Linked DNA regions of Caenorhabditis elegans. The protein of the gene in region 1 purifies or fractionates together with the protein of each later gene. This does not show direct contact. Each region holds a gene or a part of one and is shown on either strand. Other genes may lie near its edges. The genes, in order: F33H2.2 and R151.8.

Region 1 (8,286 bases):
AAGTTTTGGTAAGTTGCCAAAAGTTTTGGTAAATTGCCAAAAAGTTTTGGAAACCTGCCAAAAGATTTGGTAAGTTGCGAAAATGTTTTCGTTAGTTGCCAAAAGTTTTGGTAAATGGCAAAAAAATTTCGAAAACGACAAAAAGTTTTGGTAAAATCCCAAAAACTTTTGGGTACCAGTTATGGTAAATTGAGTACTCCTTTTTTTTGAAAAACATGAATTTTTTCAAATTGCAGAGCATCCATTCAACATTAAATCTTTTGGATATTATTGAAAATCTCCATAAAACAAATCAATTCACAACAGTACAAGAATTGGCTTACCTTCAAAAACTACGTGCTGACTATCAAGACATCCTGGCGGAATGCAACGTGGCAATTTTGCAACTCGACGAGCAGATTGCTTATTGTAGCAGTTCACTGGAAAATGTGAATGACTTGGATTTGGACTTGATCGCTGGAAGAGGCAGTGAGCATTTTATGTAAGTTTATCTTAATATCCTAGCTCAGTTGATGTAGAAAAAGTATACGTAAATAACATTTAAGACGAATCTGATTCTAGTTTTCTGAAGAATTTTTTTTTCTAAAATCATGAAAATACGAACATTTTCCACAAAATTGAAACATTTTATTTCTGGAAAAAACCGAAATATTGAAAGATCTAATTTTTGAGTTTCTAGAAAATTTATAATTTCCGGAAACGGGAATAGATGAATTTAAAGCATTACTTAATATATTTTCAGAACTCGTCTTGGGATCGGCGCTCCAGAAGTGACCCGTCGTTTGTATATTGGATGTAAATGTATATCTCGTATTTCACCATCGAAAAGATCTGTAAAATTAGTAAAACTAATCAAACTTGCCATCGAATCAAGCATTATTAGCCATGGAACACATCATTCAATCACTAATTATTTGAGAAATCTTTGATAATGTTCTTGTAAAATCACATTTATTTTTAATCCTCTGATAAATAGTTTAATTTAATTAACATAAGCATACAATATATATATCACAATTCAAATAGTTCCATAAGAAATCAGCTGACTAGAATCAAAGAAAATGGCTCGAACGGGCGGCACGATTTGTGCGTTCCGCTGTTGATCGGTTCCTTCGACAAACAATTGTGATCCTTTGATGAGCCCGTTGTTCGCTGTGTCAATTAACTCGTTTATCATTCCAACCACTTGTTTGTTCGAGTTTTGGATGTTCGAGCGGCTGGAAATAAAACTAATTTACGAAAAAAATTAGGGCACGCACATTTTATTTTAAGTTCTCTAAAATATCTTGCCACGTGGACGGCTATAAAAAGTTTTGCACATGAACTTCCAGGTTCTTTAAGTGGTTTTTTGTATTACGAATATCGTATATTCTTTATCAGTGCTGCATACAGTGGAATTTATTGGATGCAGATGCCGCACTAATAGAAAATATACGGTAAATTCCCAATGCTCTGGTAAAACAAGTCCGTTTTGTTGCCGGAGAAAGTGTCACGTAATCGAAAATAGTTATTTTGTTGTTGAATATAGTGTATTAGTGACACTTGAACTATTTATTCAATTTATACCAGATTTCGTGGATAAATTTTTTTTTCGTAATCTGCTGCGCTTCTTAGTTTTTTTGCGAATAAAGTGAATAAATAGTTCAAGTAATCACTAATTTTTAAAAAAGTGTTGCTAATCTGACAAAAAGTGTTGGTAAATTGGCAAAAGTTTTGGTAAATTGGAAAAAGTTTTGGTAAATTGGAAAAAGTTTTGGTGAATATACAAAAAATTTTGGTAACCTGCCAAAGTGTTGGTAACCTGCCAGAAAGTGTTGGTAAATTGCCAAAAAGTTTTTATACTTACTTACTTAATTGGTTTTTACATGAACAATTTTCTTTTTCTTTTTTCTTGTGAAACACAATTTTTTACGCAATTAATTTGCCACGTTAAACTTTCGAAACTTCTAAAAAATTATTTTTGATATTTTAAGATTATGAAAAGTATTCTTGGCAAAGATAATACTCTTTTCAAAATTCAAAATAATTTTTTCGAATAATTTTTTGTTTTCGTACATTTTCATAGAGGCTGTTGAAAAAAACGAACTTCTGTTGTTCCAAAATGCCGCGCCCCAAAATCCTTTTGCAAATCGTCTCGTTAAGCACCGAATTGAACAACGGTACTCCAAAAACACAATCCAATAGTAGAAAATCGTCGAAAGAAGTGCCTGGCAGCAGTTTTTTGAGTAAACCACCATCTTTTGGTAATGAGACATCCTGCATAATATTGCTCTCCGCTTTTGTTCTTCCACTGATGTCTGAGCCTGATGTCGTGATAGATTTTCCAGATTTTTTAAGTAAAATTACATATCCTGCTGTAAAATCTAGTGATAGCTGCTCTCGGAGCTTTCTGATCGCTGGATGATTGCAGAATGCAGTTTCACACTCCAAATCTTCGAATGGAAATGGTACATGGATCATTTTATCACAATCTTCACTGTCAAGAGGTACTGATTGAACAAAAATCGATGAATAAACCAACATATCATTCAATGCAAAAAGTGCATTTTGAGCTGTCATAATATGTGGTTCATGCTTGGTACTTGATACGAGGAACCGATGATGTTGGAAGCTTTGTAGTACACGTGGAAGAGTTGTTAGACGAGTTCCGTGTGGAAGAAATACACTTGGAGGGCCACTAGAACACGCCGAATAGATTGAGAGACGGAACCACGGGGAGCAGGTTTCAGCGTTTGGTGGACCGATTAGAGGAACCGATTGAACGGGAATTGCACACGCTTCGATTGAAAGTGGAGCCATTGCAACTAGGATTCTGGAAAAGAAAACAATTTCGACGTTTTTTTATGTCGGGGGATTTTTGATCACGATTGATTTTATCAAAATTGGCAAAAAAAACGGAAAATCTGCAACTTTTTATTTGTTCATAAAAGACATTGTTTCTGAACTGTTCATTATAGAATGAAGAAAATGCAAGAGGGTATCTTGCATTTTCATCTAACCGTTTAATGAAAATAATTCGAATTTTAAATAATATAACGTTTTTTTAACCGTCAGCTTCTTTTTTCGGTTCGAGGATTTTGATTTATTTATTTATTTTCATCAATCTCTTAAATTTAAAGACAAAAAGTTTTGGCAACCTGCCAAAAAGTTTTGGAAAATTGCCATAAAATTTTGGATAATTGCCGAAAAGTTTTGAAAAATTGCCAAAAAGTTTTGGAAAATTGCCAAAAAGTTTGAAAATCTACCAAAACGTTTTGGAAAATTGCCAAAAAGTTCTGGAAAATTGCCGAAAAGTTTCGGAAAATAGCCAAAAAGTTTTGAAAATCTGCCAAAAAGGTTTGGAAAATTGCAGAAAAATTTTTGAAAATTTCCGAAAAGTTTTGAAACTCTGCCAACAAAATTTGGAAACCTGCCAAAAAGTTTTTGTAAAATGCAAATTGAACTTTAAAAAAATTAAAAGCGTATGACGAATTTTGAAATTAAATACAGATAATTGCGAATTAGATTTTTTTTTGAAATTGTAATTACCAATGGTTTTTAAGAAAACTCAATTTCACCCAAGAATCGAGGGCTGAGGTTGTGTGTGAAATTTTTCGGTTACACTTTTTTCTCTCTATAATAACTCACCCATAACTTTTCTGCAAAACCCTCTGTCTGCTTTTTTCATCAAGTGTATACAAACTTTCTCCTCTAATCAGATCAGCTTCACGTTCTTGTCTTAAACTCTTCAATGAATCCAGTAGAGCAGTTGCATGCATTGAGTATCGCTGTGCATCTCCTTCCGCAAACTGATTTACAGACTCTAGTTGCTCCAAAAATTCCTTCATTTGCTCGTCAGCAAGTTTTCCCACTTCGAAAAGTGCTACTGCATGGCCTTTCAGCGAAGCCGACAGATTTCCCATCATCAGAAATGCGGTAAGTGTTGAATCGAAGATGAATGCAGCTCTATTAACAGTTCCAGAAGATCCAGATAGGTCGGAAGCCGTTTGGGATGTTGAAAGGGATTGGAATGACTGAAAATCAAAGTTTCAGATTAATACTTTTCTACAGAAATGGTTAGATTTTGAGATTTTCTCATTGTATTAACCGGTCTATTACTAACTTCCACAGAATTATTTAATGAAGGATTTGGCGAAGAAGCTCGAAGAGCTGAATCCTCCGATACCGGCGACAACGCGTCGTCTGTCTCATCGTCATCGCCACGTAGCAGTGTTTTAGTCAACTCGTTGAGCTCGTCCGATGTGCTAGTGATCAAACTTCTGTAACTTAGGATTTAAGAATTTTTCAAACATTTCTCCCACTCACGACATAGGAGAAATCGGTGACATTGGTGTAGTTACAGTGGAATTTGACGTCCAGGAGGTGTGGATTGTCAGGTTCTCTCCGCCGGTAACACGTTTTCTGGCGAATCCTAGCCTGCAGAACACGGAAATCGCGTTTTTAACGAGCTGAAGATCGATGTGTAGGATTTGCGACATCTAAAATGTGGAAAACTTTGTGTTTAATATGAGAAAATTAGTCTATTAAACCTCCAAAACAGTTGTTTGATCGTCAATTGCTACGAAAATTTTATAGAGGAGAGTCTCGAAATAGTCTCCTAGCACCCGATTCATCACAAATCCATCTAGAGGTGCCACATAGATATAATCGTTATCGTAAACAGGAACATCGAAATATATCAGTCCTCGATCATACAATGACGTCACAACAGAATATTTTAGAAGCCCCGCCGGAATTGCCACGTTGGTGTCGAGGAGGCGATCTATCACTTGTTTCTCTTCTTCTAAATAATTTAAATTTTGTTTTAAAAAGATTTACTAAAACAAATCGCACCATTCAGTGTTTTCACGTCACTTTCTAGAATCGAACCGACATTCGTTCTCCACCACGACTCGACAATCATCTTTGTTGGTTTTTGTGGCAAAAGCTCCCTCGCCGACTTGCTACGACGTAGAAATTTCCGATTTGAACGAGTTTGGTTCATTAGCTCAATGTATTGATTTCTTCCTATCCCAAGTAATCGCACTGCGTCGGCGGCTGTGAAGTTTGGAAGAGAATCGTACGACTTTTCGGTGTTTAGCATCTCCTGAAAATTAAATCCTGCTGAAAAATCAACTATTTTTCAGACATACGGTAAGAATATTCGCATAATAACTGAATGGGGAGAGCCGCATCTCGGTGACGGTGATGTCTGATAAGTGATAAGGGTACAGCATCAAGTGTGACTCGGAAAATCGTAGAAGCTGCTCATAGTACGCTTCCTCGCTCTTTTTCATGTGCCGTACTGCAATGAAATGTTCGAAATCAAGATTCAAAGTTGAAAAACTTACTCAAATTCCCCTTATATCGAAGCTGATTTTGAATCGAGTACTCCAAAACTCTCTTTTCGTATTCTTTCGACGAATTTCCCAGTATAACCTTGATATCTGGAGATAGATTCGCCCAGGGAATATTATCGCGAATACAGTCGTCGATTTCCATGCCTCTTCAGAGATTTCGAGTGGAAAATATTTTAAAATTCTACTGAATTTGAGCAAAAAAGATATGCGTGGCGGAGCTCTGCAGATCTGCAAATAAGGTAATGTGTGCAAACACCGTGACGACACATTGCGTACGCGGTGAAAATTTGTTTTTTGGTTCCAAATAAAATAATTTGAATTTAATGTTTTTCAAAGTTTTCGTTATTGCGATTTATAGAAAAATACCATTTGCAGGTAATTATGTCCTCAAGCGATGCATTTTGGAGAATGTTCGCAAACAAAAACAAAGGAAAATCGAATACCCGATCGGCATTTCAAGTTGTGAAAGAGGAGCAGCCGTCCACATCAACAGAACCCGATGATAAAAAGCCGTTACACCATGAAATTGCCGGGGAGATGATTAAAAATCCGGCAAAAGGAAAACGAAAGCGGGTTCAGATCAAAAACGACGAGTATGAGCAGCTCATGATGCTCGGTGTACCGGTACGCGTGCCACGTGGATTGAGCCTCTACTCGACTCAAAAACTAATGATCGTGAGAATTCTGACGGCGCTGAAAAATAGTCAAAATGTGCTTGGCGAGTCGCCGACGGGAAGTGGCAAAACTATGGCTCTGCTGGCATCTACGTGTGCATGGCTCAAGCAGTATATCGATGAGAAGCGAGAATCAAAGGAAAAATGTGAAATCCATGGATTTTCAGGAAAAACACAGGTGGTGTTCACTAACGATATTGGAATACCGCTAGAATCTAAAGTATATGAAGAGCCACCGGAAGAAGAGGAATTCATTGAGCCTGTGCCAGTGAAAAACGATAAACTTTGTAGGATTTTATTTTCAGTGGAGTTTATCATAAATGTTTTTATTTAGTCGAGGCACAATGGGAGCACGATTTCACGCCTCATACACCAGGAGAAACACCGCCCGTCACATTGAAAGAAGAGCTGGAGCCGGTAAAAAAACCGGAGCCCGTTGAGACGAAATGCACGTGTCTTCCGTAAGATTTGATATATATATATATATAATTTGCTTTTTTGCAAAAAATAGCGAAAAAAAAAAATAAATAGATCTTCCAATACAGATACAGCTTCCAAAATATTTGGTTCGTTGCGAGACCAGGAAACATAACAAACAATATTCTGTAATTCTAATTTTTCAGTCGCGTCCGAATCTACTACGGCACCCGAACCCACAAGCAAATTGCTCAAGTCGTTAAAGAGTTCTCCCGTCTTCCATACGCAAAAATTCTGAAGTAAATTCAAATTTCCTAGTGTAAATCTTCTCATTTTGTATTCAGACACACAATTCTCGCAAGCAGAGAACAATCTTGCATCAATCCGGCCGCTCGTAAACACGCAGACATCTCACAATACTGTAAAGAAGTGAACAGTGCACATTCGGTATGAATTCGATTTTTTTTTAATTATTAAAACAAAAAAATTTCAGATTGGTTGTTCATTCAAAAGTGCTATGAAACCACGATTTGAGAAAGCTTTACCGTTAAGGGATCATTTAGAGCGAAATGTTCGTTTTTTTTTCATTTATTAAAAAAACTGAATTTGGAAACTAAAGATTACATCAAAAATTTTATTCTAAATTTTAAAAAAAACCTAACCATATTGAAAATTATAAAAGTAGCTTCAGGAAACGGGCAATATCAATTTTTGCAGGGAACAGTGGTATTCGATATGGAAAAAATTGTCGAAACGTTGGCCATATCATATCCTCAGCTGTGTCCCTACTTCAGCACAAACCGAATTCTCACCCAAGACGCTGACATCATTTTCTGTCCATTTTCGTATCTGGTGGACCCATTGATTCGAAATTCGTCAGATGTTCAGATAAGAAACTCGATTGTCATTTTGGATGAAGCTCATAACATCGAAGACACGTGCAGAGAAGCGGCAAGCTTCTCGTTCACCGAGAAAGAGCTCGATGATTCGATATTGTCGCTGAGAATTAAAAGTTTGTGAGATTTAACTGGAAAAAAAGAGAATGTAACATAATAGCTATAATGAATTAACAAATTTTGTCTCGTCGGAGTTTCTTCGATAGTTTAGAATTTTGAGTGAAACATACAAAAAAACAAACTAAACTGCCGAAATGTGAGGAAATTTTCCTAAAATTCAAATTACAGGAAAAGCAGTTGACACGGAATTGGATAAAACCGGCATCGAAGAGAAGCTTCTCCACATTCCAGATCGAGAAGTGCATCTAAAAGAATTCCGTGGACATCTTCTCTACCTTGAACACCTGATCCTTGAGATGCTTCGATGGATCCGACAAGTGTCGACGGAGGCGAAAACGCCGGCTAGAGGTGGTCAGGATGGTGTGAAGACATGCACAATATCGTCTGCAAATCTTTTTACATCATTGACCGATCCAGAAAATGGTGTCGATCTGTTCACACCACCACTGACACCCAAACATGCAGCAGTGGCGGTACGTAATTGGTATCAGGGCGGTGTGGCTGATGGCGTATCAAATTTTTAATTGGATTTCGGTATTAGAGAATAGAAAAAAAACGATTAAAAATATAAATAACTAAAACTTCCGTTATTCCACGCAAAAAAAATTCGAGAAATGTTTAATCTTTCGAAAATTTTCTAATTTGTTCAAAAAAATCATTATTTAAAGTTAAATCACAAATTGAATTTTCTTTGATTTCAGGCGTCTTTCAGTGCGATTACGAAGCATAATGAGCCTGAAATGCAGTACTTTGACGCGTTCAAGCCAAGCTCTACAGCGATAGTCTGCATAGAGAAATGGTTGTATTTTCAGTCATATTTTGGAAATCAGCAGTACCAAT
Region 2 (7,083 bases), on another chromosome or scaffold:
TCTCCAACTTTCAGTCTAATCTCAATTTTAGTTCCAGTTTGAAGCCCGGATGTTTCAGCAATTTCATACGAGTTGTCTCCATTCCATGTCCATTGAAGGCCATCGGCATCCGATGAACCAACTTTTCTAGTCGTGACAACAACGGAATCAGCAACCATAAAAGCTGAGTAGAATCCAACTCCGAATTGTCCAATAACTGCTTCAGCGTTTTCCTTGTTCTATAAATTAAAACAAATATGATTTTCATTGTTTTATCAGAATTTATCCTCACATTCTCAATGAAATCCTTCGATCCTGATTTTGCAATAGTTCCCAAAAACTTTACAAGATCCTCTCGATTCATTCCGATACCGGTATCCTCAAATGTGATTGTTCGTTTGTCTTTGTTAGTCGTGATTCGAATTTCACTTGGACCTTCTGCCACGTCACCTTTCAATTCTGCGTATCGTCTCTTCTCAAGAGCATCCGAAGCATTGGAAATGAGCTCGCGAACAAATACCTAAAACAAAAATTAAATACTTGTGGAATACATCAATTTCCTATATTTTTTGAGAATAAGGAAATATTCTGCCAATTTTTTTCGCGAAGTATACGGTATCCGGTCTCGACACGACAAACTTTGTTAAAGACAAAAAGGTGTGCGCCTTTAAAGAGTACTGTAATTTGAAATGTTCGTTTTTGCAGAATTTTTATCGCTTTTTTGAAGTTTTCGCACGATTTGTCAAAGTTCATGTCGAGACCGGGTACCGTACTTTTGACGCAAAATTCAAAAAATTTTGTGTCTGGGCTATATTGAACTTTTTAAAAAATATTTACCTCGCTGTGTGAATACAAGGATTTTGCGACAATGTCCATAAGATTCCGTGTCTCTGCTTGGAATTCATGTCTCTGTGGTTCAGAAGCCATCCATCTCCGTTGTGTTGGTACAGAAGGGGTGAAATGTGAAGCGGTGATGGGAGCTACGTATCTCATTGTTCGCATGATCCTGCCAGTTAACATCCGTACCGGGAGCGACATCTAATAAAATGATTTTTGGATCTGGAAAGGCAATAGGATGGAGATAATGATATTTGGAAAACAAACCAGTTCATAAAACAACTCTTGGCAGATATAAAACAGTATAAAAAAATTTTATGAAGCAAGAATCGAAATATTAAGGAATGCAAAAAGTAAAAACCTGAAATTCAATGGAAAATTGAGTGTAGTACAGAAAATGAATAATATGGAATATTTAAGAAAATACAATTCGTGAGATTCAATATCAGAAAGCAAAAAAAACTATTTTTTCTTCTTGGGCGTGGTCTTCTTCTTCTGAAAGTGCGATAGAATGTAATCCTGACTATCTTGCGATGAAGAAATCATATCGTGATATTTTTCGTGAACTTCATTAACTGAGAAATGCAGAGCCGGATTAGAAATTGTAGTCAGATCTCCGTGATTCGTAATATTCTGGTACATCATGTCGGTGAAGTCAATTGTTCTAAAAATCAGTTGTATTATTTGTTATCAAATTATTTCTTTACTTACGTGTTATTTCCTCCAGGAGTTTCCAAATGAGATGCATGTCGTGTCGATCCAGGTGACATTGATAGATCTCCACCGAAATATTGTTGCATAATGCTGTCTTTCTGAAAAATTAGAAGATTTTTTTACAATTCGATATTGTCTCATTGCATACCTTCGGAGTTGGATCTGGTGTACGTAGAGATGATAAAAATGCATCATTTCTTTTTCTTTGCAATTCAGGATCTGCACTTCGTTTTGTTGGAGAGAACACGACAGATGAGAAATCAGTTGGTCCTTGAGTACTTGTACTTGGTGAGTCAGAAGTTGCAGTGAGTTCTGATATTTTATGAGCATTTGATAGAAGTAGAGATTTCTTTTCCGAATATGTAGAGGTTCTTCTCGGAATTATTGTAGTTTTTGGTGCTGCGAACACTTGTTTCACCATAAGATCCTGAATCGCAGGAGCGGAACTTGACTCTCCGGGTGGCGGACGAATCAGTAGTTGAGGAGTAACTGTTGCAAGTACTGGATTCGTTGGTTTTCGTTTTGCTGGAGCAGTCTTCTTTCGAGTTGTCTTTTTAAGAAATGCGAGTTGACATGCAAAGTCTTCAGTTTCTTGTCGAACGATGTCGCTCACTGGATTGCCAGGAACATCCGAAGTAGTATCATCACATTTTTTCTTTTTCGAAGCTGACGAACTTGGTTCTCTGTAATGATATTTGGAACAACAGCTTTTTGGAACATCGAAAAATTTCGTTTTTTCGATATTTAGAAAAATATCTTAAATTTTTGTCATTTTTTTAGCAGCTATGTTTTTCATCAACATGATCAAAATTTGATGAAAAATTTAATTTTATTGTTAATTTACTAAATATTTTTTGATCTCTCGATGTTCCCAAAAATGTTAATTTTTTAATGACACTCTTGACTCGGATTGAAAATTGAAAATACTCGGATCGGAGGAAAAAGCGACTCACGAATCTGCCGTTGGTTTGTCTCTTTTTCTGGTCTTACTCGGCGCCAAACAATCTCCGTATCCTCTATTTAATAGATTAATCATTACTTTCCAGGGTTCAGATGCTTGAATAGGTTGGTTCTCGTTATGAACTTGATATCTTAATTGGATTGGATTTTTACGGCCACACTGAAAAATAGAACAAATAAAACTGATAATAAGAGTGTTAAATTAACTTACAACACAAAAAAGTTCCGCCACAATTGCATTTCGAACATTTTTAGAATTTATTCCTTCCGCAATAATTTCATCGGTTAACGTGAAAGGTCTTGGATAAGTTACAGTATGAGATGGTTTTGTTTCTGAAAAAACAATAAATGTTTTTGTCAACTGAATCATTAACTAACTGATATTAACATCCGTCGCCACTTTTATTCCAGTTACTTCTATTTTCTTAGCTTCCAGCTTCTCCTTACTCTCTTCTACATTCTTAATCAATTTGTTCATAGACAACGAGATGAACGGTGAATTTTCGGCCGATTGAACGCATAAACTCGCTATTTCACAAGAACTATCCGGCCATAAAGTGACTGAAATAGGGGTAGAATCTCCTGCCAATGACCATTTTTTGTGCAAAAACTCGAGAAGTTTTGTGATTCGATCGTTTGCATTGAGTTTAACACGAAGAAATGGATTCTGATTACGTTGTCTCATGAAAACATGGTCTCCATTGCTTGTTGGCTCGAGGTGAATGTAGAGATCATTTGGAACTTTATCACCTTTTTTGACGCCTTAAAACAATAATCTAAATAAAAACTAATTTCCAATCCATAAACTCACTGAAGTATCTGCAAAGTGCTGGGCAAGGTGGTGTTTTAATCGTTACCAATTTCCTACCAGCTCTGACGACAACAGTTCTGCAAACTTTTAGTAATAATTTTTCAAGTTCAAATTTTTTAAAACCAACCCTTCGAACACTAACTCCTTCAACTTCTCTACAATAACCTTCATATTAACAGTTTTACGCTTATATTCGCACGCGTTGATGAGAAGAAACAGTTCTCGAGCATCTCGTGGAATATTTGCAAAATCATCTGAATTTAACAAACATGTGAGATCAGATTAAAATATATTCTTATTACCATCTGTCATTGCCAATAATGATTTATATGCTTTTGCCGAATTGAAGAAGAACGTCTTCACGTGATCTTTGGTCTTTTCCATTTTTCGCTTCGCCATGAACTTTACAACACTGTCAAAATCTTTCCCGTGCTGAAACAATAATATAATCACAGAGATTGTTAATATATATGACTCACAAGCTTGATTCCATCATGAAAAGCGCAAACTTCATCAAAAGACCAAGCTCTTCTTTTTGGAAGATCTAGCGATTTTTGGTCAGAAAGTACAGAAGTGCACGTGGGTTCCGAACTTGACGGGTTCAATATTTCTCCATTTGTTGTAGTGTTGTCAGTTGATGTTTGAGGTTCTTTGTCTAGCCCGGACGTCAATGAAGTCGATGTAATCGGTGCAGGTGATTGAAGCGGTCTTTCCCTCAATACGGGAGGCCGCCCAAAGGCGATGCGTCGTCGAGAAGAACTGGCAGATGACGTTGATGGCTCATCTGATTGCATTTCTGAAACAAAAAATGAAGAAAATATAATCGAGAATTCTTTTCAAAATTAGCGGTTACCACCAGAGCGCATTTGTACACAGTTAAATTATGTCCAAATTCAAGATAGATTAAGGAACATAGCATAGCAACATATGCACAATACAGTTTGGATTGATGTAGAAAAATTTGAAAATCAGTTATAATATATTTGCCTTAACTTTGAAAGTCAAATAAGATAATAATTAGTGCCTCAAACACTATCGATCGATGAAAGAGTCAATGTGAAATAAACTGTTGCAAAAATATATTCAAAAAAAAACAACTAGAAATATAAAATGGTTATGTGAATATCACAAAGTACGATCGAATACAGATAGAAGTAAACCATCAGTTTTTTGAAAGAAAAATATGATATATTTAATATGGGGGCAATCCGAAGTCCTCTGGCTTAAACTGTTCCAAACTATTCAAAATCACAGTCACACGATTTTTGAATTCTGGGTCTGAATCGGGGTCGAAAATCGATCGTTCTGGAACCATCACACATTGCATTCCAGCATCGAGTGCCGACAAGACACCATTGTACGAATCTTCAAATACAAGAACTTTGTCCGCCGATTCTGGAACTTGTGGGAATCGTTTCATAGTCACCAAAAATGGATCTGGGTGTGGTTTTCCGTGTTTCACTTCAGGATCATCTCCCGATAAAACTTGCAACTTGATCATGTTCACCCAATCTTTGTGGTTATCCAATTTCGTTGGAAATGTGCGACTACACGATCCAGTACACAATGCAACTGGAACTCCGGTATGAAGAAGGTGACGAACCAGTTTCTCAGCTCCAGGCATCGCAGGACTCCTTTTGAACATTTCGATGAGAAGTTCATCGTATTGACGTGAATACTCTTCCGGTGTCACAAGATCGCCGATTTTCAGTTCGTTGATTAGCCATCGGATCGATTCATCATGGCGTTTTCCCATTTGCCCTGAAATTTATATTAAAATAAAAATATTTCTGATATTTCTTCTCACTTCTCTTCAAATCCATTGTGAAAACGTGTCCATATTTTCTCAAAAGCTCCATATTCGCTTCCGTGTATGCAGATTCTGTGTCGACGAGAAGACCGTCAAAATCGAAAATCACATGGGTCACTGATGCAGGCATCTGGAAATTTCTATAAAAACATATTTATTCCAGTTTTCGTTTCCTTAAATAATATTCAACTCCGAGATAAGTAACTCGAATCACTGAAAATTGTAAGTCCAAAAAATAAAAGATTAACAATTAATTAATGCAGAAATTAAGAGTTAACAGCTAAAATGGAATGAATACACGATGCTGCATGAGATTTTTAAAAGTGGAACCACATTGAACTTTTGATACAATAAAGGTAAAATTGCATTGATTAATTTATAGTAAACATTTGAAATTCTCGTGGCTTTCGTTGCCAAATTCCGAGATCCTTCTGTCGCAGCCAGGTAATGAACGACTTTTTTGCAGCAGCGTATTCTTGAGATCCAGCTTTGAGTTCTTCGTATGAGATTGGATAATCCACAGAAGTCTTTGTCAACGTGCAGATCTGAAATAGAAGGAATTGTTGAGTTTCACACTCAAAACATCAAGAAAATTATTTTTATTTTCCCCCAGCTTACAGTAATCATCAGTTCTGCCATATTTTTTTTACACAATCTGGATGGAGTCGTGATGTCAGCCCCGCTCATATCCTTATCATGAACCATTCCATCCGATGTTCGTACAACTTCTGTATTTCCATCAGCCAAGTTCCAATTCATCGAACTAATCGTGGATCGTGCTGCTGCAGAAGTTGATTGCTCAGTATCTTCCACTTGACACTCTCCGATTTCCACGTCTTGAACATGGAATGGAGCTGGAGGTTTGAAGGTGGCTGCTCTGCTGTAAACTGCTTTACGGAGACGATCTGCATTGTTCAACTCGGCAACGGCGATTGACGAGTAATAGATCTGAAAATCAAGATCTCATGTTATACTAATCAGGTTAAACTAACTGGATCGATGAAATGTGATAATATTGCTCCTTGGACACCCAGTACATTTGCTCGAAGCAATTTATCAGAGCAAGACATTGTCCTCATTCGTTCTCCCATCATGATTCCATCAAATGTTTGTGGAGCTTCAAACTCAGAAGCACCACCGAGCACTGTGCCCATACCTTTATCAATTTTGAATCGAAGACGAGAAGAATTTTGAAGGTCATCTGATGTTCCGGGTTTTAGCTTTTTCTGAAAATAATTCAAATGAAGAATTTACAAAAATTAATACTTGAAAAGTTACATCTATTCTCGCAACTCCACATGGTGCGGTGTTTATGAATAAATGGAAAGAAATTCCTGGCTTCAGCACCAATGCGTTCTTTCCTTTTGTAAAAATTGAATTGGGTGGCTCTGTAGAGAACTTTAGAACTTCGGAATACAAAAATCTCAGAAGGCCTCTTCTTGCGAGAATTTCAGCATGACAATCTATGAGAGCTGTTCCATCGTTTACAATTTTGTCTCCGCGTAATCCCTTGTTTCCAGTGGAGAGAGCAATGATTTGGAGGTTTCCATTGATTTTCAGGAAAACAGAAGCGATCACTTTTTCGAATCCATAGATTAAGGCGTTGTTCTTACAAAGTCTAAAATGATAATAAAAGGGATACATTCACTATGAATTATTTTTTCCACTGACTCATAAAATTTCGCGTATGTATGTTCTCTGAGCATCTCGAAAAATGTGGTTTTCTCCTCAAATTTGACAGCAGGCACAACGTATTCGCTAACATGCTTGAGCACGACTTCCAGTCCTTTCAATGAGCACGACACCTTTGCCTCTTTCTTTTTGGATTTTACATTTCCCTCGATTCGTTCTCCATTTAAAATTACAACACATATAAATTTCATGGATCCGTTCGGTTGGTTTCTGTTATAGAAATCAAAAACTGGAGTGTTGCCTGTCATATGAACATAAAGCTCTGAGAATAATGACATTG

Evidence for each region.
Region 2: the proteins of F33H2.2 (region 1) and R151.8 fractionate together in Caenorhabditis elegans (co-fractionation; one large-scale study listed by BioGRID). This does not show direct contact.

The regions. Positions count from the first base shown.
Region 1 is NC_003279.8:15,020,415-15,028,700, reverse strand, and holds F33H2.2 (Protein FAM91A1), read right to left. Parts: upstream 5,534-8,286; 5' UTR 5,482-5,533; coding exon 5,331-5,481; intron 5,285-5,330; coding exon 5,133-5,284; intron 5,087-5,132; coding exon 4,834-5,086; intron 4,784-4,833; coding exon 4,530-4,783; intron 4,479-4,529; coding exon 4,306-4,478; intron 4,260-4,305; coding exon 4,103-4,259; intron 4,014-4,102; coding exon 3,628-4,013; intron 2,813-3,627; coding exon 2,087-2,812; intron 1,218-2,086; coding exon 1,019-1,217; 3' UTR 940-1,018; downstream 1-939. Other genes in the region: set-10 (MYND-type domain-containing protein), read left to right, coding at 237-481, 743-929; dog-1 (Helicase ATP-binding domain-containing protein), read left to right, coding at 5,721-6,300, 6,348-6,474, 6,637-6,729, 6,775-6,877, 6,924-7,001, 7,148-7,442, 7,615-7,919, 8,148-8,286.
Region 2 is NC_003281.10:7,225,691-7,232,773, forward strand, and holds R151.8 (Myb-like domain-containing protein), read right to left. Parts: upstream 4,098-7,083; 5' UTR 4,096-4,097; coding exon 3,781-4,095; intron 3,734-3,780; coding exon 3,604-3,733; intron 3,556-3,603; coding exon 3,429-3,555; intron 3,379-3,428; coding exon 3,302-3,378; intron 3,253-3,301; coding exon 2,869-3,252; intron 2,824-2,868; coding exon 2,702-2,823; intron 2,651-2,701; coding exon 2,484-2,650; intron 2,214-2,483; coding exon 1,679-2,213; intron 1,629-1,678; coding exon 1,528-1,628; intron 1,481-1,527; coding exon 1,279-1,480; 3' UTR 1,117-1,278; downstream 1-1,116. Other genes in the region: hsp-75 (Histidine kinase/HSP90-like ATPase domain-containing protein), read right to left, coding at 1-218, 272-499, 817-1,017; R151.10 (uncharacterized protein), read right to left, coding at 4,494-5,062, 5,109-5,241; Double-stranded RNA-specific adenosine deaminase adr-2, read right to left, coding at 5,483-5,656, 5,730-6,059, 6,104-6,337, 6,390-6,729, 6,783-7,083.